Schizosaccharomyces pombe: one gene and its partners. Changing the gene in region 3 together with the main gene of any one other region gives a genetic interaction. Each region holds a gene or a part of one and is shown on either strand. Other genes may lie near its edges.

Region 1 (8,445 bases), 1.5 Mb from region 3:
ACCAAGTCCATGAGGGAAGGATCACCAGGTCCATTGCTAATAAATAGACCATCATAAGTCTCTTTGGTAAAATCATAATCCCAAGGAACAACCAATAATTCAACACCACGATTCAAAAAACAACGAATTTGGTTATATTTCATACCAACATCAATAACAAGGATACGGATGATTTTTCCATCTGCTTTTTTGATAGCTGTAGTAGGATGGGGTTCATAAAGTTTGGGTTCTTTAATGGAAACTTGAGACGTTAAATTTTCAGTATTAGGATTTTTCCATGGTATATCTTCAAAAGCAGTACTCCAGTCTTTTCCGAGACCAGTAATTGAAGAAGGATTGATGGGGGATTCGTCTTTTTGAATAAGTAAACGACCTAACATAGAACCTTGGTCGCGAATTTTTTTAGTAAGAGCACGGGTATCAATACCAAAAATACCAGGAATGCCCTGTTCCTTAAGCCATTCTCCTAAAGAAGAATGAGCAAGAAAATGAGAATAATTTTGAGAATAAGATGAAATAATAATAGCAGCAACATGAATTTGATTGGATTCGAAATACTTGGGTAAGCCAGATATCTCGTCTAGAATACGACGATCGGGCACACCATAATTACCCACTGTGGGAAATGTAAAGACCAAAATCTGACCACGATAAGAAGGGTCGGTCAAAGACTCAGGATAACCGACCATACCAGTCTGAAAAACTAATTCACCGGAGACAGAGTGATCAGCTCCGAATGAATAACCTTGTAAAACACTTTTATCTTCCAATTCCAAGGCCATTAGCTTATAATCTTTCATCTCGCCATTCACAGAGTAGAAGGCAGGAGATGGAGAGCAGGTGGGCTCTTTAGGATCATTTTCAGATGGTTTAGGACCATGAGTCCTTGGCATCCCCAGAGCTTCACTCTGGACGAGTGGAAATGATGAAGACAATGAAGGTAGCAATCCGGACATCGCTTATATCAACAATTCCACAGATTTGAGGCTTAAGACTAGCGATTCCCAGATATTGCTTCTAAGGAGTGGTTGGTCTCAAGAAAGAATTTAAAACCTGAGCAGAAAAAAAAATACTTACGCTTTCGTCAAAGCACAATGTACACTAAAATTTTTACAGATAAATAAAAAAAATTAAATAAATCTATTCTAATTTTTAGAATTCAGTTTCTGTGTTAGGCAGTTTCTAACAATCCTATAGGACGAGAACTGGCAAATCCGAAAGAGTTGTTGGAAAATTTTTTGCTTGTCGTGGATTAACCAGTAGTGCGGTACACTGTGCTACGGTGTATGTTTAGGGTATGACATTTCACTTCCGCTTTTCGGTCTTCGAACCAAGGCATTTTATGAGCGGTCTACTTGATACAAAATTAAAGATTTATATTGCTTACCAACTAACTTGTAAAGGAGAATATTTTCTTTTTTTCTCTGAGCAAATATAAAAGTTTCATGTATGACGCAACCTGTTTTAAAAACACAACGCCATCTATGATTAAATATTGTTATTTTGGTTTACGTAATTTTTCAGCATCGGTATCTACATAACACAGTACTTAGGATATCGGTAATGAAGGGATAGCAGCCGATTTGTGCTTAATACATTAGTCAATGAAAGCTTGGTAAAGCCAGTAAACATATCAACAGCTCATCATAAGAATATCAGTAGAAAAACAAAACGATGTCGACCTATGGTATATTAAGAAAATTTAAAAGTAAAACCTTCGCAATAGTTTTTTTCTCATCACGCCGTTTGAGCTTTTAGCAATAAAAAGTCGAAAGTGGTTTTTTATAAAAAAATTGTATCTTTGGTAGTTTAGTATTTTAGGAACATTAGTAGTGAGCTTTTCCTAATAAAGTTATACTACAGTGAATGAGTTTGAGCTCTTATAGCATAAAGTAGTTTACTCATAAACCATCAGGTAACGTTAAAACGTATTGATTTATTCTACGTCTTTCAGTAGTAATTCGTGATCTGAGATATCTTAAACAGAGAATGGAAGAAAAAATAAAACAACATTTAAACCATGGTCAAAAATTTACCACAATACGAACAATGTAGCATTTTCCATCAATTGTCTGATGACCAGTATAATTCATGCATAAACAACAAAGGTTCCCTCCCCCATGTAATCCAATTAGGTGTGAGACTACGGCCAAAAATTTCTAAAACAGGAAGCGATTCATTTGCCGAACAATTAAACCAACGTGAAATGAAAGGTTTTAATGATGGTTTCCTGGAATGATAATCTGGAATACCAATTATTGTAAACGTTGGAGGGATTTTATCACTATATACAGATGTATATTCTGAAGTAACTCCAATCAAAAGCTGTTCCCAAGGTTTGCGCATGTTTGAATAAACATCAAATAATGGTTCGCCAAATGCCGTTATTTTAAGCCATGTCCATGTAGAGACAAGCGTTAAATTCCATTTTTTAAAAAGCACTTTTTTAACAAAATTTACATACTTTTCCTTATTTGTGCACCAAACTGCCACGACGCCGGTTTTGCTTAACGATTCCTGAATTGGTAATGCTTTTAAATATCCAAGGTTCCTGTTCACCTTATAGACAGAGCTCCTAGCTACAGATTTATTCGGCCATGGAGGGTCTATAATTATGCATTTGGGTTTTTCTAGATGGCCATCAATTGCTTCTAAAAGGATTTGCGCAGTTTTCTCCACGTCACCCATAATAAAAGAGGAACGAGCAGGGATGTAGTAAATTGAATCCCTACAATTAGTTTCAGACGATTCAGTAATAACCTTTGATCCCTTCAGCTTTAATTTTATAGCGGACGCTCCATCATTTTGGACACATTGTTGATAAATCTCTTCCAATCCAAGTTCAACTGTATCTTTAGACTTTATAGTTATAAATGAATATGACGGTGGAATAGTATTCAACATTTTCAACCATTGCAAGCACTGATCCTCAAACTGTATAACCGGTGCTTTAACTAGTACTTTGAAAATGTCTGAGTACCATTGCACTAAAGGAGCATTTTCAGCTTGAAAATGGATTTCTGATGCACTAGTATTTGACCTGTATACGATATCTTGAAATTGAACATGGTGTGATTTATCGGTTGATTGATTGTCATCCAAACTGCGCAACTGTAAAGCACGACGAACTCGCTGAAGGCTTTGCAGTACTTGCCCTACAGTGCCTTTGCCACTGTTTTCATAATCCGAAGTTGATTTTTCGGGGAGTAAATATGGCTTCACGACAGGCTTCGTTCGAGTGGGCAAAATATGTTTATTAAATTGCAGAGATGTTGGCAAGTCAATGAGACAACTAGTGTCGTCCATGTATAATATACATGGCATTAAAAATTACACGAATACCGAACCTCAAACAATCGTGATAAATGAAATGCACAAGGACACCGCTGAATTTCGTTATAGCAATCTATTAAATTAGTAGCTCAAAAAATAGCTTATGTGCGCTCAACTCAAAATAAGAAGTAGCGAGTTGAGTTAATTAAATTCAGTCGGATAAGAATAATTGAAAATACCGCTCTCGACGCGTGACAAACGTGTATACTTTATCGAAAGTTACTCGATAGGTTTCGTCGTACCCATCAACTGGAGTGCAGTTAAACTTATTATGCTTAATACCAAATATTGAAACAACAAATCTCTATTGATATTTTAAAAACTTCCATTTAATGATATTTTTTAAAACTAATTTACGAAAACCGAATCTAGTTAACGTAGTTCTTTCAAACTAATACGGAAACATTGGTGTGCGATTTTCGATACTCCCCACAATAACATTGAACGATATAAAAAATCCAAGCTATTAAGAAGTACAAATTTTTCTATTGAACGAATTAGGTAATCAAAGCATTCATAGCTTGCAAAAACCAATGTTTTGTGGTTAGTCAGCCTTCAAAATGGTAACAAATTTATATGCTGCCAGTACGAAATATTAATTACATAAGGAAAACGATATGCTTAGTCTTACAAATACACACCTACCTTATCTCGCCTTAACGTCTCCACTATCAAGTAAGCAATTGCTGGTGATGACTAAATATATTTAATAACAAGCATCATAAAGATCGTTAGGATAGGAATCTGCAAAAATCGGAGCGTAAATAAATAAGCAGTTAATGGCGTAATGTTTTCACAAAATGATAACCACACTATTATAAAGCCATTACTTTTTTGACGAGATAGCATCATACAATTTATTGATAGGATTCAAGCAAAGGACCTGCAATCAGTATATAAATACGCTTCGTTTTTATGTTCAATTCGATCTTAAATTTTAGTTTGCCGATTCTATAGAACATTTTGGCATTGGAGTTTATGAATTTTTAAAAAAAACAACGCAGTCCGGCATTCTACGGTATTTGCTTTCGACGTTAATATATATCGAAACGTGGAACCATATTTTATTCACATTAATTTCCTCATCGAACCAACTCCGGTTTATCTCCTCGGACATTTATTAGATGAACCTATTCGGCTCGTGAGATTTGCTATATAAACATTACTAAATTGGGAATTGTCGTTACCAATTTTTTTTGCGATCAGGATCGACATTGGGATGCATAATCGTTTCGCTTCGTTTTAGTTAAACATTTTTTTATTTTGCTTGTATTGCATAGACATTGCGCGATTACAATTTTTTTGGTTGTTTACTTATTTGCGGTGTTTATTTTATTTCTTGTCAGTCATTATCAGGGAAGCGGTATTTGTTTGATTTTCTTTCCCGTCATTATAATCGGTTTCACTTAATTTCTGGATTCGTTTTATTTATTCTCCTTAATTATCACTTAATTCATTAATATATCTTTTTTACTTTTTTTTTGGAAAGAAGCTTTTACAATCACAATTCTTAGAGCAATGGCTGTGATCACGGAAGAGAACTCTAATAATTTATTTTGCACAGATTCATTGGAATTAACCTCGGTATGTTTTCTGCCTTTAATTTTTTTAGTTATCTTTTTTTCTTTAAAAAAAAGAATAGAAAAAAATCCTTATTTTTCTAAATATTCAAATATGGTGTACGCTAACTAATGATATTAGAATAAACAGGATGATCAAGTTATTTCGAATTACTTAAAGCCCGTCCGTTCATACCCCTACATTAAATATTCTCGAAGTAGCTTATTATTAACGGCATCTACAACTTTACCCGAAAACTTTGTGATTTCATTTACCAACTCCATTGAGAGTGAAGAGAGCGATAAATCTGATTACCTTCTCGATCATGCTCATAGCTTACAGGAATTATCGACTACTCACTCATCACTATCAAGCACTTTAACATCTATGTCGGAAGAGTCATCTTCCACAGAATCGAAATTTGCTACCCTTAATGATGGCATAAATGGTGGTAATCCATATAGCAGACTTTATCGAAAAAATCCATCTTCTGATCCAAACGATATCCCACCTCAGTTTCACTTTAAAAAGAAGTCTAAATCATTTTATAGTAGCATGTATGATAAGATGAAGATCAGAATTAATATCCTTCCGAACGGAAACGACAATTTTATAAAAAAACGGAACTCCGGCTTCGCTCTGGCGCCTATTGCTTGCTACAATCATACTTCTGATCTTCGAAAATTGCTGAAACACAAAGTAACTGGTAGCAATGCTAGCATCTTTAAGAGAATCAACCCGAGATCAAGAAAGAGAGTTGTAAACCCGGAATGTTCCGTAACTGATACACCTTATGGAAAGTTAAATAATGTCATTGGGGAGGGAGCGAGCTCTTTCATTCGGGTCATTAATGATCGAAACAAATTGCCAATTTACGTTGCCAAAGTATTTCGTCCTCCATTAGATACCTCATTACTGCGCAGGTATGTACGTTATTTCATTGCAGAGTACACTTTTGCGTCGACACTCAGGCATCCCAATATCATCAAGGTATTAGACATTATATACAAAAGGCATACTATTTTACAAATAATTGAGTATGTTCCTTATGATCTTTTTACCTTTATTACCAAAGGTCATTGCTCTGCTTTAAAAGCTGATCAAATGTTTTTTCAATTGTTAGATGGCGTGGCTTATATGCATTCCCTTGGCATTGCTCATCGTGATATAAAATTAGATAATATTATGCTCGATGAAAATTTAAATGTTAAGATTATTGATTTTGGTACTGCTTTTGTTTTTCATTATCCATTTGAATCAACCACTCTGATGTCTGATGGTGTAGTCGGTTCAAAACCATATGTTGCTCCCGAAGTTCTTACTCAGAAACCATATGATCCGAGCGCTGTAGATGTTTGGTCTTGTGCAATTGTTTACTGTTGTATTGCTTTAAAGAGATTTCCATGGAAAGTGCCGCATACATCGGATAAACGTTTTAATTTATACGTTACTCAACGAAATGACCCTAACACGAAAAGCCAATTGATAGAATCTTTACCGATGAACTCAAGAGATACGATTTATCATATGCTGGACATTGATTTTAATACAAGATGTAGCATTTCGGGAGCACGAAGCACTACATGGATGCAACAAGTTCGGAAAACTCTAATCTAAGGAGAATTTGTCTACTTTAGAGATTTTTATCTATTTATTTTTTTTATGATGTTAAGGATTATGAAGTCCCTTTAATGATCGCTATTAACTTATAAAGGGCAAGGACGTTGAAGTGTTCACTTGTAGACGCTTTACTTCATCGTGAACTTGAGCAAATCTATTACTAAGAGCCATGAATAATTTGTGCTCCTCTTTGATAGTTTTCAGTAATGCTAGATAGTTAATACAAGTTTTACAAATTAAAGGCATACCCTCGGGACTATTATTCTGTGGCGTAGTCTCAACTTGCTCCAAATGTTGTTCAAGTTCACCAATAGTGGCAGCATACAGATCTGTACGTTTCTTAGCGTTTTCTGTAAATTGCTCAAAGTAGTTCATTAGGGGATCGTTTGACGCGAAGGGATAGGTTGCGCCAGGTGTTTTAAAAACGTCCAAAATACGTGAACTAATGCGAGCATTCGAAGTATCTTCGTCAACTACACGCTTCGTAGTTTCAATTTCGTCGGAATCAATTAAAAGTGCAGTCGAGACAGAAGATAAACGCTTTATTTTAGTTAGAAACAAATAAAACTTGGAGATAATAGAAGGAAATAACTCACTCTCTGTACTTCAGCGACATCATTAGGGACGGATTCAACCAATTCGGAAACAGTCCCCAACTTAGTTTGTAGTTCCTCTGCAAGTTGGATTTGGCTAAAAATTTCTTTGCTACGGACATGATTAGAACAAATTTTGTACATAAGGTAACACATACTCTAAGTCATCTAAAAATTTTTGAGTATTAGCGTTTAAGCTCGAGTATCTCGTCGTTGCATTAATAGCTGGATTAGAAGGGAGTTGCCTGTTTTTTTGTTAATGAAAAAAAAATTTAATAATTAACTTACGTTGTTGACGGTTGCTGCTGAGCTGCAGAAAAGAATGGAGTAGTTTGAGTATTATTGCTTAAACCAAAACCAGTTGAACCAGACGGTTGTGTGGATTGACCAAAAAGGCCAGCGGAAGCTGGTTGTGTAGAAAATTGACCAAAAGTCGAAGTATTAGGGCGGTTTTGATCAAATAGACCTCCTGTAGTTCCGATGTTAGACTGTCCGAAAAGAGAAGTATTTGCTTGAGCAGGCTGTGTTTGCGATTGTGTTTGATTTTGACCAGATAATCCAAATAATCCTCCAGTAGGGGCTGCTTGAGCAGGTTGTGCTTGTGTTTGATTCTGATTGAACAAACCACCAGGTGCTTGAGGTTTAGTAGTGGAAGCTCCAAACAGGCTGCCACCAGGTGCCGCTTGAGGGTTTTGTCCAAACAAATTTAGGCCGGGGGTAGTAGATGTAGCGTTTGGCTTATTTCCAAACAAGCTTCCACCAGTTTGAGGTTTTGTTTGACCAAAAGCTCCTCCTGTTACGCCTCCAAACCCAGTCGAAGCGGGCGTATTGGCCTGCGTATTGTTACCAAAAGTATTAGAAGAAAAAAGTCCTGTGCCTGCAGAAGTACCAGTATCTGAAAAGGTTAATATATGAATAAGCACAAAATTCGAAAAGTAAACTTGAAGACTTGTTCACCTAAAGAAACATACTTTGGTTTTGGGTTCCTGTGGACCCAAATGAGGGTGTTTTATTTAACCCGAACATTGCTTAAAGTATTAATACACGAATGTCCCTAGTGTAAATACCATGCAAAGATTATCATGAAAAACCACTCAGGTTATCTTTTCTAAAAAGGGTAATTGTAGAATCACAATCAATGATTAATATTATAATTAAGCAAAGATGGAAAAGATTAGTTATCTAAAGTTTCAAATTGAACTAGCTTTCAGGGTATCGTATAGTCAAATACTGCTGTGTTCGCAGAGCAAATTCAATTGTTAGTGTTAACTACAATGTGGCTCACTAAGTTGGCTTTCACGAGTGTTGGTCTGTTTCAACCCGTTTTAGCGCAAAATAT
Region 2 (8,380 bases), on a different chromosome or scaffold from region 3:
TCATTTCATTTTCGGGTAAAACCAAAAAACTTAGATAAAGTACCTAAGTTAGCTGAAAACGAGGGAAACAAATCGCTAGAAAGCAAGGAATCAAATGAAAACAAAGTGGTGTTTAAAAAGAAAAAGTCTGGAAAGTTAAGAACAAAATCTTCCTTAAAAGAATATGATCAATCTTGAAGAAAAAAACCATCTTTGTTTAAAAAAAATTCTAGGATGAAAAAATTTTGTATCCAATTCCTGCATTCTGTTCAACATAACGAGAGTAGCTTTTGTGTTGGGTAATCAGCATTAAGTAAGTATTCATATCGGTTATGAATGCTAAGTTGAACATTTATTCAATAACTATATTTGAGGTTTATTGAAAACATTTTTCCTTTTTTTATTTTGTTTTATTTAACATTTCTTTTCAAAGTCATTTTGGGACACTTATCTTCAAACTCCTCCAACAGACTTGAGCGTTTATAAAAAAGAATGTAGGAAGAGGAGAAATCTTCTCTCAAGTCAGTAATACCGCCCACTGTTCGAACAATTGAGTCATCAATATGGCACCATTCATTATTAAAAAGTACATCAGATATATAATGTCCATTTTCGAGCTGGCCATAATGACAGATAAATGCAAACAGGTTATAATTGCTAGGAATATAACCAATTCCCGATTGGAAACTCGGTGGTACCAGCATTTTACTTGGAATCTGTAAGCTCAATCCAAGTGGTGTATCAATTTTTTTACGACCCATTACGGATATTTTAAATCTCTGAATTTGTATGATCAAATATTCAGGTAGTTTCGAAATCATAATTACTTTTTTTGCCGACCTTTGAACCTTGCACACGGGACAATGCCATCCATCATGCCCTTGCAAGAGTTCAGGAGCTGAAAATTTTAATAAGCATTCTTGTAGGCTTACTACATGGGAGACATCGTCAATCGGTATCGCAAGCGATGTGAAGGGAGCAAAAGTAGTAGATGTGCGGCCACATGTCATACATTGAGTACGACTGCAAAGTTGACCTACAAAATTGTTGACCACAATACTCTTGTTAGACCGGAGATGCAAGTTCCATTCAATGTGTGAAAAGTGGGACAATGGGAGTTCTTCTCTGGCACTTAATTGATCTTCCGTCAACGGTGCTATCGGAGACCGAGATGCATTGGAGTTCAAATCTTCATGAAGTTTATCAAGAAAGAAATTTAAAAATTCTTGAGCATCGCATTGGCCATCGATGGAGAAATCTCTATTCAATGACTGTACAATTTCTAAAAAATTCCTTGGAGATATTGATCTCTGACCATGGTTTAATAAGACACTTTGAAGCAAGGAAAAGAAAGCAGATGTGATTTTTCCACCGGTACCCAATGGATTTTTGGTATTGATATTTTGAAGCAATCCTCTCCCCTGTAACATAGGAATAGTCAAGTCCTTACACGCAAAAAGACATTGCAGGACACAATTCATGTAACAAGTATTACCCAAATTCGTTAAACCTATAGGCTGATAATTTTCATACGATAAAGAACTATCAACTTTCTTAGGGTTCGCCAATTCCATGAAATGAGGATCCAACTTCAACGAACGTAACATCGAGTAAAGCTTGTAAGCCAAAGAAACGTCTTCGAAGTATCTTTCCAAACTGTAACAAATAACCATGCTTGGATGAAAAGGTGCGGATTTTAAAAAGTCATATATTTTTGAAGAATCCATCGATTGCAAACAGGATATTGGGATGGCAATCGTGTGCTTCGAAAAAACATAACCCTTTGAAGACTCTTGGGAATAGAAATTAAGAAAAAGAACTTTAAGTGATGATTTTTTTGATAGGGAAAGAGCGTCAGAGATTTGAATTACAGGCAAATAATGCTTCACCGCTAATTTGCTTTTTATAGTAAAGGCTTTGGAAACGGCTTGAATTGCTAACTAAAAGGACATGTTAGTATTCAAGATTGTAACTTGAACAAAAAATAAATTAAGTTTGCTTCAAAGATCATAATTAGTACAGTCTCGTCAACTATATCAAATTTATCTGACGAGAAGGCTAGGGAGCTTTGAATACAAAATTTTCGTGTTTTGAGCATTAAAAAAAATACTATGTACAATGTCGATACCTTTTGGAACTGTTTGAATTCTCCATAATGAGTAGACTTAACAGAAATCTCGAATCGGCATGGAATTTCGTAAGCAAGTTTTAGTGCTTTTAAATAGTAATAGTATGCTTTGAGTAATGAATTTTTTTGTTCAAGAGTTTGGGCCTCAAAACTGTTAGTAATTGAAGCACATTACTATAAACGGCACGGAAAAATTAGACATACCTCTTCAAGCCAGCGTTGTCCTCTGAAGGAACAGCTTTGAATCGTTTCATCTTCATTAATATAAACGAATGCTAATTCAAATAGTCTGTCGAAATAATCATCGGACATCCGAGGAAGAACCGAGTATTTGTGTTGGCGACTTAACCTGAATTGAACCAAATACTACAAGACTATAGCCTTTTTTGGTTATTATGGTTTCAATTGAAGCTATGAAGGATTCAAATTGGGACTTGCAGATACAAGTATTCCGGCGAAGGCTTAATCCGGAAGTTATGTAAGTACTAAGCAGGTTAGCTGTGGGTTAGTTAATGTAAACATCTTTATTAACTAGTACCAGAGAGGCAAGAAATGAGATTTTCTTATCCTTGCCCAGTGATCATGGATTGATTACTTTAGTTATAAATAAAGATAAACCGTTTCAAATATCGGTATTACTTGAAAAAAATCAAGAGTTCATGCAAACGGCAATGAATAAGTACGTTGAAACGGCATTTCAAAATCAGAAAACAACTTTGACAAGTTTATTTAATTATTTGTTACAAAATTGGAAATCATTTGAGACATGCAATACAAAAGAGCGTGAGTTGATGGTTCAACAAGTCGATTCTAAGAAACCAGAAACCCCAACTGACTTAGAGCCGTTGGCAAATAAGCTTGAAGGACCTCTATCAGAGAGGGTTCATTTGAACACTACACTTGACTATGAAGTACTGCGTGGTCAAAATCACTGTCAAAAGCAGAATACTACCCAAACAAAAACTACCATCTCTGGCTCTGAACAGTTATTCAATGATGAAAAGCCAAAAAAAATTATTTATTCAAAAGGAGGAAACGATGGGAAAGAAGATGATCTACAAAATGTTAATGAACCACAGGATGCTTACAGTAACGATCATGACATTCAGAGCAAAGACACAGAGCTTCTGGGTAACGAATACTGCTTAGAATGGAAGAATCCGCATTTAACTAATGTCGGTACTCTCAAAGCACCAATTTTACGTTTGGTCATAAAGTGTGTTCGGTGCCATTATGGAAGTGAAATTTCTATTGCTACAAAATTTTCTCTTGTTTGCAATAAGTGTAGTAATACTCTAAGATTAGTTTGGGTGCCTGGTGTGATTCACCCAAATAATGCCCGTTTAGGTATCCTCCATACTTTAGGATGTGTACCGGTTGACGTGATGCCCATTGACTGTCAGGTCTCTTGTATGGAATGTGTTGATGAGCAGATAACATCCTTTAAAGGTATTTCTTCCATGCAGCCCATGCTACAGTTTTGTAAAGTATGCAAAAACAGAATCTTGGTTGAACATCAAGATACCGAATTTCATTTGTTAAAACAACGACAAAGTTCAATGGGCGGGAAGGTGAGCGCAAAAAAGAAGCAAAAACAAAACTTAAACATTACGAAAGGATTGCCACTTCCCAATAATGGTGCTTGCGAACATTACAAAAAATCATTCAGATGTAAGTCGTTTATAAAATTCATAATTAACAATCAGGGTTTCGTTTTTCATGTTGTGATCGTGTTTATCCATGTGATGAATGTCATGACGCTGATCAAAATCATACATTTGAGCATGCTAATCGAATAATATGTGGGTACTGTGCCATGGAATCTTTCTACAAAAAGGATGCAACTTGCCCCCATTGTGGAAATATGACTGTGAAAAAACAAACCAGTGCCTACTGGGAGGGAGGAAAAGGAATGCGCGATCGCGTTCGCATGAGTAGGAAGGATCCAAGGAAGTACAAAAGGAAGCATCACGGTAATTAATTGGGTTGCATGACATCCATATTTTTTTGCTTCATTAGATACCCATATTGTATAAAAATTTAATGAATAACAAGTAGTTAATCTTTTGATAGAAGATACTTTTAAAGTCTTCGTATTTAACCAAAATAATTATCCTTCATCATCACTCACTTCATAATTGACGAGAGAAACCGAATTATCTTCAAGGATTTTCTCTCCCTTTAAATTTTCTGTAGGAAATTTCCTTTGCTCGCTCCTTAGCTTCTCGGAAGGGACAAATTTTCGAGCAAAAGGATCTTTTTTTGCGAATGAAGTCTCAGCAAACTTTGCAAAAGTCGAAAATGTTCTAGAAGAGGGCATTAATGTTCTTCTATAATCTAATTTCCTTATAAATTTATTCTTTCCTAATTCGTTATCTAGCAACAATAATGCCTTATCCTTGTCAGAAGAAGAGGGTGGTAATATATCAATGTCCAACGCTGCACGGTTTTTGAGAGATAGATCTTTAGCTTCTTGCTTTTTTTCAATTTTTTTCCTTTCCTAAGTTATGGGTTAGTTAATATGAAAATTTTAACGCAAAACAAATTCTTCTTACCCGAAACTGTTTTCGCAGCCTCTGAGAAGAAACGAAAGGATCCGACCAAAGCCTTTCATTTTTCTCATATATAAAGTTTATTACAGAACTATTATGCTTTTCTGACTTTTGCTGAGTTAATTGGGTTTCCAGCGCTTCAATTGCATCAGACGGCACCTTTTCGTCGTTTTCAGCTTTTGCAGGACGTTCATTGATGTCTTGAGGTTCAATTTTCCTTCTGCCTCCAGAAGCAACGATGTATTCTGTATTCTATTTATGTCAGTAACAAATTTGTTAAATTAATCAAACCAGTACCTTAGGATCCGTATGTACATCGATAGGGTTTGAGCATAAATGACATTTTAAGCTGAATGACCATATTTTCGTAGTATAGTATGAGCCAATCTCTTTTTTAACAGCATTGAATCTAGTGCCTTGTTGAATGATATTTTCACAATTGTTGCACCACACTGGAAATGGCATTTCAAACCGAATTACATTTCGTAATTTATCAAATTTTCTTTTAGCATTCGGCCCTTCCGGGGGAATATATTTCCCCATATTAAATCCTTGCATTTTTAGTGAGTATATAGCTCTTTATGCCCAAAATCAGTAGTTCCTAAGTTAATACTACGTCTAGGTGAAGTTCAGGCTAAATCAGTGGCATGCAACAGAAACATAATTATAACTCTTAGTTAATTCATGGCTTTTCAACAAACAATTTTAAATTACGTTTGCTAAATTGACGTTAAAATAATAAGGGTTCCATTCTACAGTTTCAAACGGACAAGGTAAACATGTACAAATAAATAAATTACATGACGATTATTTGAATTCATTTCTTATAAATTAATAGAAAATTATAAATGACATAAAAAGGTATCGATGAATTATTAAACACTTGATGATATTTTTAGGTTGCTTCAACGGGGACGTTCAATTTCTTGGCCAAGTCTAAGAAGCTTTTCGTGTAGCTATAAAATTTCGGCCTTTTGCATAATGATAAGACAATCAAAAATGTCTGCTGAGTAGGGAAAGGACCGTTATGCGACATCCTTTTAATGGTATTTAAGCATTCAGCTGCTTGGCCCTGCTGAACAAGGTTACGTAGCTTCTCATGATATACTTGAAGATTTAAATCAAATTTGTGACTTTCCTCAAAATACTTCCAATACCTTGCTAACAAATCACCGTTTTGTATTTGACGAATGACCTGTAATGCTGTAACCAAACTTCTTGAAGTACAATCGCAATATGGGGGTAAAGGATAACGCAAGTTGGAATCTTCGAAAATCTGATATTCCAATCCCATCACTTTTGTAAGAATATTTAACCCCACGTTTCTCACTTGAGGCGAGTTGCTAGTAGCCAGAAGTTTCACAAAGGAACAAATAAGACTTTCATCAACTGCTATTCCTTTCTTTTGGCATTCAAGGACAAAATAATTCCAAAGATTCGTCCCCATCTTTAACACTTCTTCACGTTGTTCCGGATTGAACATAGAAAAGTCGTTCAAAAGTCGAAGAATTTGAGATCCACTATAGAAATCCAATGTTTGTTTGATGGATGGAATAATCATTGACACCAATACCATACTTTTAAGCTTTAGACTACACTTGGATATAATTCGTATGTGATGCAAATTGGATGTGACATTATTAGACTCCTTGAGAGCACTAGCTGTTACCTTTTCACTATATTCACGTAGTTTAGAAAAATTTCCTTGCTTATTCTTTTCAATAGCATCGCAAAATCCCTTTAGAAGAATGGAGTATGTATGATCGCTAGGTTTTTGTTGGCGCTTTTTCATATCATTGTACAAAGACCAAGCAGCGTTGTAATGCCCTTTAGCTAAATGATATTGTAGTACAAGGTTATAGGCAACCGTCTTCTTGGCATTTGATCTCTCGTACAGTAAATGCAATGCTTTCTCTAAAGACTCTTTTTGAAGTAACGAAGATACATTTTTAGCCAGTTTGAAACCATCGTTTCTTATTAAGGATGACTTAGTTTTTTTATTTCGAAACTCATTTAGATTGTTGACTTGCTCCTTGAATTTCAAAGCATCAGCGATTAAAAGGCGCTTTCGTACTAATTTCCGCGCATTACTTACTGAAACACTATACGTGGTTGCAAATTCCCGCAAGCAGAAGCGGTTTAGGAGCAAATCGACAAAGGCCCTTCGCGGAAATGTCCTTTTAATGAATTGCATTAAACAAACCACTAGTTTATTCAAGTTTAGGATTAAAACCGCGTTAGTAGGAAGTAAGTTATAAAATATGAGTTGTTACGAATGAAGACACTACATCATTAGTTCAACCATCGTCTTATGTACAACGTTGAGTAAAAGTGCTGTTTGACGAGGTAAAATTACTATATGCACACAAAAGATTGCAAAAATGAGTTAACAAAGCTAATTACAATGAAAGTAACTACTAGCGATGAATTTACTAATAACACCTAATGACCAAAACAACTAAATCTACTTGTTGTAAATTATTTTGTCAAAGCTAGGAAAGATATGGTTATTTTTAACATCTACACCAAATTAAAGCATCTTTCTAACGAGAGAGTTAATATGCTCATCACGCTTGCCAGCATCACCACCTTCGATGAAATGCTTGAACTTGCGATCTCTCCAGCCACCCAAGGGAGAAGAAAGTTGGAAGGGCCAGATGAAGTTGGCAGCTTGCTTGAAGTTGGGACCGACGGTGTAAATTTCGTGAATCAAATCCTCGATAGACAAGATAGAGTACTTGCCCAAAGCAGCTTCGATGATAGCATTGTCAGAAAGAGCAATGCGTTGTTTGTTGACCTTACCAAAACCACGCTTGTAAAGGAGCTCACGAACAGTCTTGAGGTTAGGAATACCATAAGTAACATAAGGTTCAACGACTTGAAGCATTTCTTTGGTAGCCTTGTTAAATTTAACAAAGACACCGTTGTTGATTTGAATAAGACGGAGTAATTGCATGATCTTACGGGCCTTGGGAGGAATGTTGTTGATACCACGAATACGGATGACAAAGACCAACTTGGTTTCGTCAGGGACGTAGTAGTTGCCCTCAGCACGAGCCTTGCGACCGAGTTCGATTTGCTCACGTTCGGCCTTGCGGTACTCAGCATCGTAAGATTCGGCGCGCTTTGCAATGAGCTCACGCTTCTTTTGTTGAGCCTAAACATAACAGTTAATACAGTAGAAATTTTGTGAAATTAGAATGGATGTAATTTAGATGGAAAGAAATAAATAAAGAGAAAAGTAGAAAAACAGTAATCAGTCCCGAAAGATGGTAAATTGTGGAACGCGCACAGCCTAAGCTAGCTATCCGAAATTTGTTGTCATCATCTTGTTTTTCATATTTCTCAATTATCTGCTTTATTATTGCTTATAAAAATAAAGCAATCATAAAAAATTCCATGACAGGCTAAAGCGTTTGACTAATTTTTGGGAGGTGAAAACCCTTGCAAACCGATCAAAATGAATGTGGGAGGGTTCTATCTAGATGAAAAAACACAATCTGTAGTGTACTTTATAGATAAACTCTTCATCATTCAAAAGATTTCTGTACTTTATTCAATCCATCCAAAGACAAATATCCATAGACAAAACACTTACAGCTTTCTTCTCGGCAGCGGCAGCAACACGCTGTTCACGAGACTGCTCTTGGGTCTTCTTCTTCTTCAAAAGAGACTCAGGAGCAAAGATTTGCTCCTTTGAGGGGACCGTTGACGATGCTAC
Region 3 (7,894 bases):
TCGTTCTTTTAATAAGTGTTTCTCTCGAAGCGGCTAAATAAATAAAGCGCAAAATTGCAGGACGATGCTCCAAAGAGCTACGAAGGATATCACGGTAACTACGCTTTAAGGCCGAGCAGGTTAACACAACTCCCTTTATCGATTCCTTGTCAAGTTCCATGGCACAAGCACCTCCGCAGTTATGCAACCAACCCCAACGATCGTTATCATTCAAAGGATGGCCTTGACTCATTTTTTCAATGTTTGCTTTGGGGTGTAGATCATCACCCTCAATATACTCAAAACCCAATTTCTCAGATACCGCCTTAGCCATCGTCGTTTTTCCTGAACCGGCAGGGCCGATGACTACAAATACATATTTGTATGGCTGATTAGTAGGATTAATGGGAGTAACAGTCATAGTTATCGAATTATTTGTGAGGATTTCAAAGTTTGGGTACAATCACAAAATCACACGTTGGTGGTAATCGAACGAGATGTTTTAAACAAGCTTTGTCAAAATGGCGCTAAAAGGCTCCTTTCTCGGACAAAGCGATGCAAATTTACTGGAAAACAGCCAACTTTTCAAAGGTACTATAGTTTGTGGTAAGCGGCAAGAAATACCGAAAAAATGCAGACACTTACGACTTGGTTAAACACAGCCAAGAAAAGTTAATACACACTAGATGTTATTAAAAACAAACAAATACCCGGGGGCTTCTCGTCCCTTTAATACAAATTTTGTAGCTGTAGAAAGGAACTTTAAATTAGGCCGACAGCCTTAAAACTAAGTTGGATTGACGTTTAGAAATCGGGGTATAGAGGGGCTCTAGAACTAATGAGATTGAAGCAACGTATACCCCATCTCTTCAGTAACCCAAGATGCCAATATGACAAAAGAAGAACCGGGGCATGTTATTTCGGTTTATTAAATTAAAATAACGTGCTGAAAGAATACACTGTAATGAATAGTGAATAGCAACGATTCCACTGAAACATTTTTATACTAAATACACAGCTACAATATAGTCTATGGTGAGTAATGAATATGAGAGTGCTGGGAGGTACGGTATATAAGGAAGGTTGGAAAAAGTATAGAAATGAGTGCTGTTTTGTTGCTCAAGAGATGAAGATGCGTTTGTTTCCTTTTCATTTTGGAGTACCTTTTTGATTCTGTGGACCAACGCTTTGTTATGTTGAATGTCGAAGTGTTTCACTTAGAAAAAGAAACTACCTTTGTGGTTACAAGAAACAAACAAACTGCTTTTAACGCCTTTATTCTATGCTATTAAAAATTGAGTAAACCGTCTTTTTACTACTCATTTGTCTGTTGTACAATATTACGTACCCGATATTTACTCAGTACTTGAATGCGTCTGTTTGACGCAATGCCTCCTTACCTAACTTACCAAGCACCATTATCTTTGATCATTTTTCACAAAATGGTATTTGCAATTAGAATACGCCAGTTTCACACTACTCTCGTTTCTGCCGAAAAGAATGGATTACAGAAGTTGATCCCCCCTAGGCTGAAAACCATTTGGAATCAAATGTTGGTTGAAACAAAAGGTGCTGGTAATGGTCCTGAGCGCTTTGAGATGATTCGTCAAAAATACAAAGCTTTGACTGCCGATGAGATCCAAAAGTATAAAAACAAACTCCAGGAGCAGTTCGATGCTGAGAAAAAGCGTTTTATGGAGACTCTACGATCCTTTACACCTACAGAAATCGATAGTGAAAATCGTCGTCGCTCGAAGGAGGCTCACAGCACGGGCAGTCGCTATTACAGACTTCGTCATCCAGATGTTCCTAAAAAACCTTCTTCTGCTTTTATCCTCTTTTACAAGGAGCTTCGAAACAATCCCAAGCTACGTCAAGAGTTAGGTATTCCAGAAGCCATTTCCACACTCGTTGAAGAGACCCAAAATGCATCAAAGGCGTGGAAGGAATTGGCGGAAGACAAGAAAAAGCCATTTATTGATAAAAGCAAAGCACTTAAAGAGCAATACGATAAGTTTATGAAAGAAGCCGGATTTCGATGATGCACACTCTACTTGCCCAGATCTTTTTTTTCTATAGATTTCTTGAATCAATGAGTTTACGTTTTATTTTACTAGCATACATGCTTGAAATATAATAAATTTCGATGCCTACACTAAGTTTTCTTTCTGTCGTAGATTCCGCATTGACGAAAGCTTTATTGTCCCAAAGCTTTTTCCTTATGAGTGTTGCGCTTATTTGTAGTTTCTATTAATTTTAAATTGTATTTTGCATATAATAGTGCTTAATACTATGATTGCTTGATACCTTGAAATATCTAGTTAAGAGGATAGCATTAAGCGGGTAATAATTTTACACAAAGCTTGTTGGACTAATGAGCCAAATTGATCCATCCCCTTTTTTAACGTATAAGTACGTCTTTAGAAGCCTGTGTCCTGCGCATAAAAAATCTGAAAAGTAATTGTCAATTAAAAAATTTTCTCAAAAGTCAATTTTCTTTTTGTGAAACAAAGTACATAAAATTTCAAAAATGAATATCACAATTTGCACGCCCAATAAAAAAAATTATAAAGTTGGCATTGTTTGCACATTCCCCAGATAAAAATGAAATTAAGGATTTCAGTTTAGGCTGAGGCAGGAGGAAGAATTTCACCACGGTTGACAAGCAAAGCCTCCAAGACAGCAACAGTGGTCCATTTGCGGTTCTCTGCTTCTTGGAAAACTAAACTGTTCTCTCCATAAAATACCTCGTCAGACACTTCCTCGGGATGACGGGGTAAACAATGCATGAATTTGCAGCTAGGTTTGGCAAGCTTCATGATCTCTCCGGTGACTTGGAATCCTGTAAATTGTTTAAGACGTTGTTCCTTCTCAGCTTCTTGACCCATAGAAATCCAAGTGTCGGTAACGACGATATCAGCATTTTTAACAGCAACCTTGGGGTCGTTAACAATTTCAAAAGTAGAACCGTTTTCGTTCGCAGCTTCGTTAACGATTGATAAAATATCGTCGCGAACGTTGACGTCCTTGGGCTTAGCAACGCTAGTATGAATACCAACCTTGGCATTTGCAATCATCAAATCATGTAAAACGTTATTGGCATCACCTACCCATGCAACTTTTAAACCGTCAAAGCTTTTGAAAGTTTCCTTAATAGTGAGTAAATCTGCTAACGCCTGGAGAGGATGAAACGTGTCACAAAGACCATTAATAACAGGACAAGAGGCATGTTTAGCGAGCGTAGCAACATCTGAATATTTGTTTACGCGAGCAACAATACCAGAAACCATACTTGATATAACTTTTGAAGTATCGTATAAAGACTCATTCACTCCTAATTGGATATCATCTTTACCTAAAAACATGGCATTGCCGCCAAGGCAACTGACAGCACTTTCGACTGATACACGAGTACGAGTGCTACGCTTACTGAAGATCATGGCGACATTCTGAGACGACAAACCACTCATTTGAACAGAACGGCGATTCTGAAAATTCTGCTTATAAGCTTGTTTAATTTCAGAAGACCGATCGATCAACTTTACAATCTCTCCGCGACTAAGATCACGAATGGATAGTAAATGACGAGGAAATTTTTTGAAAGACATTTTCAATTGCAAACTGAATAATTCTTCTCGACTAAATATATCAAAAATACGGTTTTTGTAGTCGACTACAAGGAACCCACAAGTTACTGGTAATTTCTTAGATATTCAGGGTGAGATTGCATATAGCCGATATCTAGTTCTCTCTCAGACTGCGAGATTGGCGCCGTAATATATCGTATGCGGATTTTCGACGAGATGGAAAATTTTTACATTATCGTACACTAGAGTTCAGTTGCAAACAAGCTAGTACGTTGATGAAATATGATAAAACAAGTCAAAAATTAAAAACTACTCATAAACATTCTATTTCCTTTCTTTTTCTTATGTTATTCATGGTAATATTGATACAGAACGTCAGAATACTTATCAGCAATAGCTTTTAAATACCAAAATCGTTAATTGATTAGCAGTAAAAGAATATTCATGGGTTTAGCATTTAATTATAGAACTAATGAAAAGGGATGAATTTTTTTCGACCTTGTAATATTTTTTTTATTTACCACCCATTCTTTAAAGAACCAATACATTGTAAATAAAATGTATCTAAAAAACGTGTAGTTATTTTTTTTGTTTATTCAATTATCTCTTGACACTATATTCAAGCGAGCTGAAATAAAACCAATTGTGTTACTATATTGATAACTCAGCATGCTTGTGAAATCAACAACTACCATGAAATGAACAATGAGTTCACAGATTCGCTATATTACAAGCTTACACTTACAGTATTGCATAAAGCGAAACAAGTTTTAACGAAAGAGAAGGGCTTCTTGCCAAATTTTTTTTTTTTTTTTTTTTTTTTTTTTTTTTAACGAGATTATCTTAGATAATAAATTTTATGATAAGTGCTTTTGTCTCATCAGGGTCATTGGGACTATTCAACGCGAAATCAAATAGAAAACAAAATATTGTTTCAAAAGAATGCTTTCATGTATAAATCAAGATATTGAACTGGCTTGCATAGAAATAATGAATATTGTACTGTGTCAGTTAGGACTAGTATTAAATAATGTATATACAAATAGATTCATTGTCGGCAAATGAGTTGCTTTTACAGTGTCATTTATATAGCTTTAATTCATTAAATGTCCATGTCTCACGTTTGCAGCACTTTCATGTAAACTGTTGGTTTCCGATGTAATTTTCAGCCAACAAGTAACATTATCGATCTCATCTTTTTGAGTGATTATCTCCAGAGCAAATCCCTAGATACAGCAATCAAATTTTAACGAATTATAGCTACGTTTACGAAGCAAATGATTTTCCAATTTTGAAACCAACCAAACTGCCTTCTACCAACTACAGTAAATCATAGAATATCACTAGAATTTGGCAATGCTTATTGAATTGCAACAAATTGTCAAGTCCGGTCTTGTACGGAATGGAGCGAAACACTGTACGAAAAGGAGCTTACTATGTTCCAATGCATCAGTCATTGCAAGCAAACGTTTTCAAGGCAGTTTTGCCCCGGGTCAACAACAACCGTTAAACCCACTCGCGAAACCAATTGAACAAGATCGTGATGCCATCATTAGAATTCTTTCCTCCATCGGAAGCCGTCGTGAAGTTGAGCAATACCTACGATACTTTACTTCCTTCGAAGCTCAACGTTTCGCTATTATCAAGGTTGGTGGTGCCATTATCACCGACGAATTAGACACATTGGCACAAAGTCTTGCCTTTTTGAATCATGTGGGTCTTTATCCCATCGTTGTGCATGGCGCTGGTCCCCAATTAAACAAAATTCTTGCCAGCAGAAATGTTGAACCCGAGTATAGCGATGGTATTCGAATCACCGATGCCGAGACTCTTTCTGTAGCTCGTAAAGTTTTCTTAGAGGAAAATGCGAAACTTGTAGATGCTTTGGAAAAGTTGGGAACTCGTGCTCGTCCCATTACAGGTGGTGTATTTCAGGCAGAGTATCTCGACAAAGAAAAATACAAGTATGTTGGCAAGATTGTCAAGGTAAACAAAGCTCCTATTGAACACAGTATTCGTGCTGGAACCCTCCCTATTCTTACGTCTATGGCCGAAACTGCTTCTGGTCAATTGTTGAATGTCAACGCCGACATTACTGCTGGTGAGCTTGCTCGCGTATTGAAGCCTCTAAAGGTGGTCTATCTCAATGAAAAAGGTGGACTTATCAACGGTGAAACAAAGAAAAAAATTAGCAGCATCTATTTGGATAGGGAGTACGATGGCCTCATGAAGCAACCATGGGTCAAGTATGGTACGAAGCTCAAAATCAAAGAAATCAAAGAGTTACTTGATACTCTTCCCCGTACATCTTCCGTAGCCATTATTAGTACGAAGGATTTGCAAAAAGAGCTTTTTACGGAATCTGGCGCTGGTACTTTGATTAGTCGCGGTTTTGTCATCAACAAACATGACTCGTTGGATAGCATTCCAGACGCTGCTCTAGAAAATTTGATCATTCAAAAAAATTCTTTAGCCGCACCTAGTGAAAGCTTGAAACAGTTCAAGGATACTCTGAAAGACAGAAAACTTCGTATTTATAGTGACTCTTTCAATGAATCTGTTGCTATTGTCGACACCACCGACTCATCCTTGCCAGTACTCTTAGCTTTTGGTGCCGCCGACAATAATTGGTTAAACAATGTTGTTGATAGCATATTAACAACATTAAAAGCAGACTTCCCTTCTTTGCTATGGCGTCTTCAACCTTCAGCCAAGAATCTGGAATGGTTCTTCTCTAAAAGCGAAGGTACTTTGTTTGCTAATAATTTTTACTACTTTTGGTACGGTGTAAAAGATTTGAATAAAATCTCCAAGTTCATTCAGTCTGACAAGCCATTTGCCGATGCTATCATTCAGACCCAATCCACTAAACCCCCTACTGCTTCATCTACCACCAACAACCCTTCCTCTTCACAGATCAATCAAAAACGAAGTTACTCAACTAGTTCTTTATTTTCAAAAAACAAAAAAATGAATCGTTCTTTGTTTTTAAAGGGTGGAAAACGATTTTTTTCTGCTGAGGCTCAGAAGACCCAAAAACCTTTGAAGGCGGTCTCATCGAAGCCAGCAAAAGTCGTTCTCCTTGGAGCCCGTGGTTATACCGGAAAGAACTTGATTGGATTGATTAACACTCATCCTTATCTCGAATTATCTCATGTTTCTTCTCGTGAGTTGGAAGGCACCAAACTTCCTGGCTACACTAAGAAAGAAATTCAGTATGTCAACTTGTCCACAGATGATGTTAAAAAATTAGAGGAAGAGGGAGCGGTTGATGCTTGGGTCATGGCCCTACCCAACGGTGTATGCAAACCTTATGTCGATGCTTTAACGTCTGCAAATGGTAAAAGTGTCATTGTTGATTTAAGTGCGGACTACCGTTTTGAGCCCTCGTGGCAGTACGGTCTTCCTGAACTAAATGACCGTGAAGCTTTGCGTAACTCGAAACGTATTTCCAATCCTGGTTGTTACGCTACTGGATCGCAAGTCGGTTTAACTCCCATACTCTCTTTGATTGACGGCCAGCCCTCTATTTTTGGTGTATCTGGTTATTCTGGGGCTGGCACTAAGCCCTCTCCGAAGAATGACTTGAATGTATTGACAAACAATTTGATACCTTACTCATTAACTGATCACATCCATGAACGTGAAATTTCTTATCGTTTAAAGCAACCTGTCGCCTTTATTCCTCACGTTGCTCAATGGTTCCAAGGAATTACTTTAACTATTAATGTTCCGTTAAAGAAAAGTATAACTTCCCGTGAGCTTCGTAACTTATACCAAGACCGTTATAATGGTGAGCCTTTAATTCATGTTCAAGGAGATGTACCTTTGGTCAAGGACAACGCACACAAGCATCATGTTTCAGTTGGTGGTTTTGGTGTGCACTCTTCTGGAAAGCGTGCAGTCATTGTAGTTACTATCGACAATTTACTTAAAGGTGCTGCTACTCAAGCTCTCCAGAATCTCAATCTGTCCTGTGGTTACGATGAATATGCCGGTATCCATTTGGATTGATTATATTTTTTGTAGCCCATTCTTTTGTTATTTTTATTCTTTCTGTGTACCATTTGGATATTTTTTTGTTACAAATATTTTGAACTAAATGCATTAATCCTTGCTATTAAATAGCCAGCAGTAAGTCGCGTACGAGTACCATCTTAAGTTTCCACACATTTTAATTTAGTTCTTGTTCAGTTATACAAAATTCCTCTGTCTGTGCGTCGCAGACTCTTCAAAACTTATATAAACAGATTTGAAGTTGCTTTCTATGGTATAGATTTTCATCAACGAAATAATTTTTGTACGTAGAATAAAGTGGTAAATAGTTA
Region 4 (8,342 bases), on a different chromosome or scaffold from region 3:
CGAAACACCGGAGGATAAAGACGCGTTGTTGAATTTTGAAAATGATTCGGAAGCTGAACAAACTAGATTTGAACAGAACTTTCCTCCCATAGATGCTGAAATGCAAGCCTCTGGTACCTTTTCCGCTCCGAAAGCTCCTTACATGGGTCAAGCCGAAGTTCATCCCCCTGAAGACGAAAGCGGTGACCCCGAACCCGTTCGCAAGTGGAAAGAGGATCAAATGAAAAGGATCCAAGAAAGAGATGAGTCTTCCAAAAAGTTGCGCGAATCTAATATCGAGAAGGCCCGCAAGGCTATTGATGATTTTTATGAGAATTTTAATGATAAGAGAGATAAAGTCATTGCCAAGTCGAGAAAAGAACAAGAAAAACTGTTGGAAGAAAATGAAAGCAAATCTACTGGAACTACGAGCTGGGAGCGTATCCTGAAGCTTATTGATTTATCCGATAAGCCTGAGGCTCATGGCCGCTCTACAGAACGCTTTCGTGAACTTCTCATCAGCCTTGCAAAAGATAGCAATGCTCCTGGTGCTGCCGGCACAACTGTATCCTCTTCTTCTTAGAGATAAAGCTCTCCAATCCTTTTTGCTTTCAATGCTTGCACACTACCCTTCCTTTTGACACAATTAGCAGTGTTTAAAATAATATCTGACTAAGAATTTTTTTTATAATTTATACTTTTTTAAGTATTCAGTTCTCATATAAAATTCTTTGTCTACCTACTACAGATTTGTAACTATACTTTTTCTTGGATCTGTGCTTTGATATTTAGGGTATGTCTGTTTATTCGTCCTTCCCTTATATTGCGTTTCATAACGGTATGCCGTCTCTTGGTGTACTGCTTACCGCTTTTTATGCTTGTTGATTTTGTCGACTTTCCACCCTTTAATATGATTTCTAAAATTATTTAAAAATACTTGAACCTTTTACCGTTGTAGCAAATACTGAACGTCCGTACTGTAGTTATTTCATTTAATGTGATTTGTATCTAGCTTCACTTCCATTTGCCGCATAAACTACTGGACGATTTTTCATTGTCGAGATTTACAAGCGTAACGAATTTTGTGCAATTAATATATATTCTCTCTCTTTTAATATTTGCTCCTTTCAAACTTAAGTTTGCTATTGGGGTTTTAGATTTTACAGTTTCTTCTCAGTTGATATTGCTTAAAGGAACAATTTCCGCAGCCCTTTCTTTAAATGCCAAACTAATTACGGAACTGAATATTATTAATTTGCTAATCTTATATGCCAGCGAAGAAAAAAAAGAATAGAGTACCGATGTATTTAAAGATATGATTGAAAATTGCGTCTTGAGAGTACGCATGAATAAATTAATAAAACGAACAAGAGATACTTCACGTTTACGATCAAGGTTCAACTTTTCCAAGCTGCCATCTCATTAACTTGTAAAAGTTGGTACCAGGACGAGACAATCGTTCAAAAGACCCTTGCTCCAAAACTTTCCCGTCTCCAACAACAATTATTTGATCAGCTCGGCGAATAGTAGCCAATTTGTGAGCAATCGTAATGGTAGTCATACTACGATTATGCATCAAAGATTGAATCGTTTTATCCACCATTACTTCTGCTTCACCGTCTAATGCTGAAGTAGCTTCATCCAAAATTAAAAATGCTGGATTTCGAAGAAGTGCCCTAGCAATTGCAATGCGTTGTTTTTGTCCCCCGCTTAGTTGTAAACCACGAGTCCCGACTTGCGTAGACCATTTCTCCGGGAAAGAAAGCACAAAACTACAATTCGCTCGTTTGGCAGCATCTTCGATTTCCTCTTGAGATGCGTTAGATTTACCGTAAGCAATATTTTCGCCAATTGTACCAGAAAATAAAACCGGTTCTTGTCCAACTAAACCAAAATGACTGCGCCATTGATGAACATTATATGTAGAGATGTCAACTCCGTCAGCTAATATTTTCCCACTACTAGGTGCGTAAAAGCGCAAAAGGAGCTGTGAGATGGTGGATTTTCCACCGCCACTAGGTGCGACTATAGCAACATTGGTGCCTGGATGAATGTCGAAAGATAAGTTATCAAATATTGAAGCTGAAGGACGAGTTGGGTATGCAAACCCAACATTTCTGAACGAAAGTATTGCCTTTCCGACTGTGACTGGAACGGGAATCCCAACGGTTGGAGCTATCTTCGGTTTAGCATCTAAAAGTTCAAATAACCGACTAGCAGCTCCCAGACCTTTCATAATATCAGTAAAACATCCTGATAAGCCAACAATGCTTCCACCGGCATAAACGGTATACAGCAAAAATGAACTTAGCTGTCCTACAGTTATATCACCTGCAGCAACCATTCTTCCGCCTAACGCAAGAATAGCGATTACAGTTGCGTTCCCAAGGAACCCTGTTGACCCGAAGAAAATACCGCTAGCAAAAGCCTCTCGCTTTGCCAGGACAAAGAGATTTCGAATGTAATCGTTGTAACGATTTACTTCTTGTCTTTCTCCTAGAAAAGCCTGTGTAGTCCGAACATTTGCGAGTTTCTCTTCTGAAACCCTTGTTAAATCACCGAGAGCATCTTGTGTAGTCCTGGAAAGTTTCCGAACATACTCTCCATAAAAGAAAGCTCCCAATGCAATTGGGGGTACAATTAGGGACATATATCCAGTGAGTCTCATGGATACGTAGAGCATCATCCCTATTCCAGCAATTGCACTAACTGAGCTACGAAGACCATCACTTAAGTACATTGATAAAGACTTACCGACAATACTCGAATCCGTCGTAAGACGGGATATGAGATCCCCATGTTTATGAAAGTCAAAAAATGCTCCATCTAATGACATGCATTTAGCAAACAAGCGTGCTCGAAGACGACTGACAATTCTTTCACTCAGTAGACGCAAGGTGATGATTCTACCAAAGTTACAAGCTGAACCAAGGAAAAATAAACCCAACAAACCAATATAAAACGTACCAGAAGGAATTCCCATGATATGCGTGACAGAAGAATCGCCTGACGAGCCAGCGTCTAAGATTTTGCCAACAATGTAGGGAATGGACATTGTAACGCCGGAGGAAACTAAGAGAAGAGATCCAGCAATAAAAAAATTCCATCCCTGACCCCTTGCTAGTGTGAAGAGACGAAAAACATTGACTTTCTTGTTTGGTGTTTGTAATGTACCATTTGTATTTATTTTTGAGATATCCTGTGCTTGCTCATCTTTTGATGGAACTGTAGAATTATGTCGCACACACAACTTTAAAAAAGCAAGTGATCGTATAGGAAGAATAGATCTAGAAAAAGGTAACGGAAAACTATTTTTAAAAGGATATATCTTAGAACCACTTGAGGCCTTTTGAGATAACGAGTTTAGGCTCACATTAACCTGTGAAGATAACTTACTGGTACTATAATATTCTGCATTTGGCGTGGGAAGTAATAGAGTATTCGTACTTTTGTAAGCCACGTTGTTTTTCAACCAAGTCAACGGTACTAAATAGTTTGCTCGAAATATTACGCGTTTATTGTAGCAGTGAGCGAATGGTACTCTCGAAAGTCCAAAACGTATTGGATCCATCCATGAATGTGCCTTTCAAAGGAAATGAACGGAATCTTTTCGAAACGGGGTTTACACAGGCTTTTGGCAACAAAAGGTGCGCAAAGTATGTACAAATAAATTATTTAATATATACTTTTTATTAGTATTCGTTCTATCAAATTTTCTCTTCTCTACGGTATTAGTAGTTTCGATAGAATTTCCACGAAGTACTCTACATTCGCATAAGGTAGGTGCTTTGGTACATACTAAGATTTCATTTACCTTAACACAACCACTTCTCTACAACAAGTCAAATCGACGAGAATAGCAAAGACATTTGTGTCTTTTACTTTTTTTAAATTTCTTGAAATTATAATTTGCTTCGAGATGGCAATTGATTACAGCAAGTGGTAAGTTTATTGATAAGTTTGTTTTTAAGTAGGCGAATATGAAGTTAACAGAATTGACAGGGATAAGCTAGAACTTAGTGATGACAGGTATGAAATATACGGTTTGGAGAGGAAATCGGCTCTGTAAGGACAATGGTTAAATACTCTACATGATGCCTTTGATTGGAGTACAATAAAAGAAGTCGAAATGAAATTTCATTAGTAGGATGGAATAAATTCAAAAATAAAATTCAGACTCATCTTTTTATCATTTTGAAGGACATGTTGGGTTCAAAAAGGCAATCATTAATTTGCAGTTTGTATATTTGATGCCAATTGGGTTCTTTTAGCTAATAAACAACCATTGTCAAAACATTCCTTTCTTTTCCTTCTTCATTTATTTTTCGTTTTGATAAATTCATGCTAACAACATTTAGTGACATTGAAGGTTTGTTACGGGTTGTATTCATATTAAATTAACCACATGCAGTTCATCCAAATGTCGATAAAAAGTCTTTTATTAGATGGCGCCAACGTGATATCCACGAAAAACGGGCTGTTAGAAAGCAAAAAATGGAAGATATCAAAGGTGCAATGGCGATGAATCGTAGACTCTTGTCTCGCATCTCCGAAATGGAGACTGTTCTTGAGAAGGAATCTCCTTCGGATCCTTATGTTTTATTGGGTTCATTTTTAGAGGCAAAAAAGTCTGAAGATATGGATAGTGCCATTCCTGGAGGCATGTCGTATCATCATATGCTTATGTCTTTATTAAAAGTAATTAAAGATGCCGAAGACACTACCGAAGAAAAATCTATGGATGATTCGGATAAATGCTTGAGACGATTAAAGTCACACAAAGAGCGTCTTCTGAAGTTGCTAGAAGATGCACAAAAGGAGTATGATACTTTAGAGGCTGAGAGTAAAAATTACATCACTTCTGAAGACTTGCATTTGGGCTTTGATTCCACCTATGTTCAGAAAAAGGAGCCTGAAAAACCTAAAAAGACTAAAACCAAAAAGGAGACCATCCAGGTCATTGAATCTCTTAATAACCCTACACCTCCTACTGATTTTCCCGGCGCTAAAGAGCAAGCTTCTACTGGTAATGCCCCTAAAAATCCTGTCAATGAGAATGAGTCGGAAGATGAAGAAGGGTTGTCTCTTTCTGAAGATGGTAAGAAGTTTGCCAATATTGATTTTGGTGATTATTCTTCATCGGAAGAGTTTTTGAAAGAACATTTAAATATCTTGGCAGATGAGGAAGAATCTGATGCTATTCTTTTGGAAGCCTTTAATGCTGAACTAGAAGGGAAGCCGTCCTTAGCAAAACAATATGTTCATCAAGCCCTTTTGATCAGCTATTGCAGACAGCTTGGACCAAATGGTTTATCAATATTTTTTCAAAAAATTAAAGACCCAAATCACCAATCTCAGCGGCTATTTTTAGAGGATGTTCATAATACATATGTCCGAATCCATGAACGTTCTGCTGCCATCAGCAAAGAACAAGCTGAAAGCGGTGAAGGAGTAGAACAAATCCAGCTCTGTGCAGTTGATCCTAATACGAAACTTTCCATCACCATCCCGGAGGCAGGTTCTACTGATCCAGAGACACAAAAAGCTCGTGCAGCTTTTGAGTCTTTTCCTCCTAACCTCCAAAAAGCTCTTATGACCAATGATTTAGACAAGATTAATGTAGTTCTTGGAAAAATGGCAGTTGAAAATGCAGAAGAAGTTGTGGAAAAGCTCAGCAGTACTGGTATGTTGAGTATCGAAGAAGGAATCATCGACACAACGAAAGGTGAGACTATTCCTCAATTGTCTTAAATTTTTCTGCTTACGGGTGTGCTTTTAGTAAGCGAAAACACCAAAGTTACATGTTTGCCGTTGGCATTTTTAAATGGATAAACAACAATGAAATTTTATTTATTGATTTACCATACCTTGTGTGTACCGTATAATAAAATAAGTATTTAAACAATTTGTACATTTGCCATCAAAGCAACGTGGTCGCTGGGATATCTTCCTTCTAAAGGCTCCGCTTCCTTCATCTCACTGGGTAAAGGCACACGTAACAGTGCCTTTAATTTTATACCTTCAACGACTTGATTTTCGGGAGTTTGAAGTGAGGTATCACGATTCATAACAAATATGTAGTCCAAATGGCCCTGGTAAGCATGAGCCCAATTGGTAAATGCTGGATGATCAAACGTATTTTTTGCATTTTCTGGGTGAACCAGTTTATAGCCCACTGAATAAAGACTGAAAAGTACGGGATTTTGCTCGTGCTGCTGATAAAAAGAACGGTAGTGAGGTACATAGTCATTTTGTACATGCAAAATTCTCTTTTTTGGGGTAGAAGCTGTGGATTCGGGAACACTTGAGGTAGAAGAGGATTGACATTCTTCTTTGTCATCTTCATTGGAATCATTTTCTGTCTTAGTACTAGCATTTTTTTCTTCCAACTCAGATTCCCCAAATACGTAATTCATACTACGTTCTATAATGTCAGTAGCCCTTTGGCAGATGGATAGAGGGCGGGTAGTTAGCGCAGGAAAGTTGGTATCGAACGGTTCAGTGTTGAAGTCACCAGCTATAAAAACAGGCCAAGAAGGATGACTTTGTGCCATCTTGTTTACTTCCTTTACCAATATTGCACCTTGGCGTAACCTTTCGTAAGAGCCGTAAGGATGCCAAAATAAATGTGTAGTAGCCAAGAACAACCCTCTGCTCGGGTCATCTACCCTTTCAAGGCGTACACAACAACCGATGTTCTTGGTGTTCATTCTACCTGGTAATTCATCATGATCATCGTAATAAATAGTCAAATCTTGCACCTTTTTGAACAAAGAGGATTTCCAAAAAATCATAATTCCATGAGTTTTACCTTCACCTTTTATGAAATGCAATTCATAACCCAATCCACCTAATAACTTCTTGTAGAAATTAGGAACAAATTCAGCATCAACTTCTTGCATACATCCCAAAGTTGGTGAATAATAGGTTAATTCATTAGCGAGCATTCGTGAGCGATTTTTCCATTTTAATGCCTCACCACTGTGTGGAAACATTGAACGACGAATATTTGTCTGAGCAAGTACGTTGTAAGTCATAATAGTAATATCCAATGCAGACTTTTCAGTTTCAAACGGTGCATAATTAGGGATGGAGAGCATTTCACGCTTTATAAAGTCCGTATTGAATTCGGGTGGAGCATTGCTTGGTGGAGCAATAGGTTTTCGAGCAGCCTTCTTAGCTAATAATCAGTTAATAAAATTGAGCAACAAAAAATTAAACAAAGGAGTAGAGATTCGGTCTTAAAAAAAGTTTCACAACAACCTTCTTATTGTTGCTCGACTAGATGAACGAAAATTTTTTTTCATACCCATTTTCTCAAGTTTTTTTTGGCGTTGTTTCTCTATGTATTCAGGCGTTACGAACGAAGGAGGGCCTTTAGCTGAGCCTTTTTTCTTAACGGGTATCGAATCTGCCATCTTGTTCTTTTTCTGATCAAAGAATGATATAGCAAGTTTGGATAATCTATAATCAGTGTGGAATCGATCGATAAAAAACTTCAAAGTCAATGTACACGTTTTAGGACAAGTGTACATACAATGACTTTTGAGTAGACTTTATTTAAGTTTTCACAGCCGAAATGGATTAACGACTGTTGGTTCGTACAACCTCAGGTATATCATCTAAAATACCGCATACTAGCGTGCTCTCCTTGATGCCTTCTGTTCGCTTCAAGAAAAGGAGCCATTGGAGCTTCTTTGACTGATTTGAAAGGATCTGTTTCAAAATTATCTTCAATTGTATTTTTACCCTCGGCATTTGAAGAGCCTTGAATGAATGCAAAGGCATTAACTAAATCTTCGAGTTCCAAATCTTTCCAAGCCGGTTCATGCCTAAGCTGTTTGTTTTTCATTAAGATTAGATTTGCACTAGAATGTTGAATAGTCATCTCATCTTCTGTAACAGGTGGTAAGTGTTCTACTCGCACTTCGACATCGTCAACTGGAAGTCTATCTTTTAGCCAATCCGAGGCAAACAAAACTACTCCCGGTTTATTCATATGAACATAATTGTAATTCGAATCCATTAATTGTTTTACTGATTCCAAGTAGGAGACTTATGGTGCTTTTATACGGTTGGTGTTATTGGAGAAGTCGGTGGTAAGTGTGTAAACAAAGCATTTAGCAGCAAAGTCTACTAGTTGGGGGGAGGGAGATCTTTCCATGAAAATCAATTATAAGAATTCTAGATTAATTTCTTATTCACATAATTCTATGAACTTTTAAGTAGAAATAAAAATCAGTTAGGTGGTTTGCTACTATTCTTCTCAAAACCTTCGTCTCTTAATCTATTTATTCCTATTGGCATGTTATTTTTCTTGATAAATAAGGTAAATATATGTGCTTGCTTAGCTTACAAATTTC

Evidence for each region.
Region 1: mutations in arg3 (region 3) and ppk8 together harm fitness less than expected from each alone (positive genetic interaction), as found in Schizosaccharomyces pombe (one large-scale study listed by BioGRID).
Region 2: mutations in arg3 (region 3) and saf4 together harm fitness more than expected from each alone (negative genetic interaction), as found in Schizosaccharomyces pombe (one large-scale study listed by BioGRID).
Region 4: mutations in arg3 (region 3) and cdc37 together harm fitness more than expected from each alone (negative genetic interaction), as found in Schizosaccharomyces pombe (one large-scale study listed by BioGRID).

Annotation. Positions count from the first base shown.
Region 1 is NC_003424.3:745,079-753,523, forward strand, and holds ppk8 (serine/threonine protein kinase Ppk8), read left to right. Parts: upstream 1-4,403; 5' UTR 4,404-4,851; coding exon 4,852-4,917; intron 4,918-5,034; coding exon 5,035-6,510; 3' UTR 6,511-6,594; coding exon of another isoform or gene 6,595-6,722; 3' UTR 6,723-6,761; downstream 6,762-8,445. Other genes in the region: bifunctional carbamoyl-phosphate synthase/aspartate carbamoyltransferase Ura1, read right to left, coding at 1-956; ime4 (mRNA (2'-O-methyladenosine-N(6)-)-methyltransferase), read right to left, coding at 2,065-3,324; nucleoporin Nup45, read right to left, coding at 6,595-6,722, 6,762-7,053, 7,110-7,218, 7,265-7,351, 7,395-8,001, 8,078-8,132.
Region 2 is NC_003423.3:1,783,830-1,792,209, forward strand, and holds saf4 (splicing-associated factor Saf4), read right to left. Parts: upstream 5,218-8,380; coding exon 4,957-5,217; exon of another isoform or gene 4,912-4,956; coding exon 4,663-4,911; exon of another isoform or gene 4,608-4,662; coding exon 4,218-4,607; 3' UTR 4,089-4,217; coding exon of another isoform or gene 3,814-4,088; 3' UTR 3,779-3,813; downstream 1-3,778. Other genes in the region: wbp4 (WW domain-binding protein 4), read left to right, coding at 1-177; ubiquitin hydrolase Ubp4, read right to left, coding at 390-1,919, 2,108-2,251, 2,312-2,419; SPOM_SPBC18H10.09 (zf-CHY type zinc finger protein), read left to right, coding at 2,503-2,585, 2,649-3,778, 3,814-4,088; PPR repeat-containing protein Ppr2, read right to left, coding at 5,555-6,853; RNase MRP subunit, ribosomal protein L7-like Rpl701, read right to left, coding at 7,190-7,816, 8,258-8,380.
Region 3 is NC_003424.3:2,269,705-2,277,598, reverse strand, and holds arg3 (ornithine carbamoyltransferase Arg3), read right to left. Parts: upstream 3,679-7,894; 5' UTR 3,588-3,678; coding exon 2,604-3,587; 3' UTR 2,083-2,603; downstream 1-2,082. Other genes in the region: idn1 (gluconokinase), read right to left, coding at 1-400; cmb1 (cytosine-mismatch-binding protein 1), read left to right, coding at 1,422-2,021; arg11 (N-acetyl-gamma-glutamyl-phosphate reductase/acetylglutamate kinase), read left to right, coding at 4,923-7,580. UniProt on the Schizosaccharomyces pombe protein: Ornithine carbamoyltransferase involved in the synthesis of arginine from glutamate via ornithine and the urea cycle.
Region 4 is NC_003423.3:1,827,291-1,835,632, forward strand, and holds cdc37 (Hsp90 co-chaperone Cdc37), read left to right. Parts: upstream 1-3,796; 5' UTR 3,797-3,898; coding exon 3,899-3,921; intron 3,922-3,981; coding exon 3,982-4,008; intron 4,009-4,085; exon of another isoform or gene 4,086-4,337; coding exon 4,338-4,348; exon of another isoform or gene 4,349-4,390; coding exon 4,391-5,730; 3' UTR 5,731-5,840; downstream 5,841-8,342. Other genes in the region: clathrin light chain Clc1, read left to right, coding at 1-562; mdl1 (peptide-transporting ATPase), read right to left, coding at 1,370-3,550; SPOM_SPBC9B6.11C (CCR4/nocturin family endoribonuclease), read right to left, coding at 5,877-7,159, 7,289-7,514; anaphase-promoting complex TPR lobe accessory factor Apc13, read right to left, coding at 7,598-8,005. UniProt on the Schizosaccharomyces pombe protein: Co-chaperone that binds to numerous kinases and promotes their interaction with the Hsp90 complex, resulting in stabilization and promotion of their activity.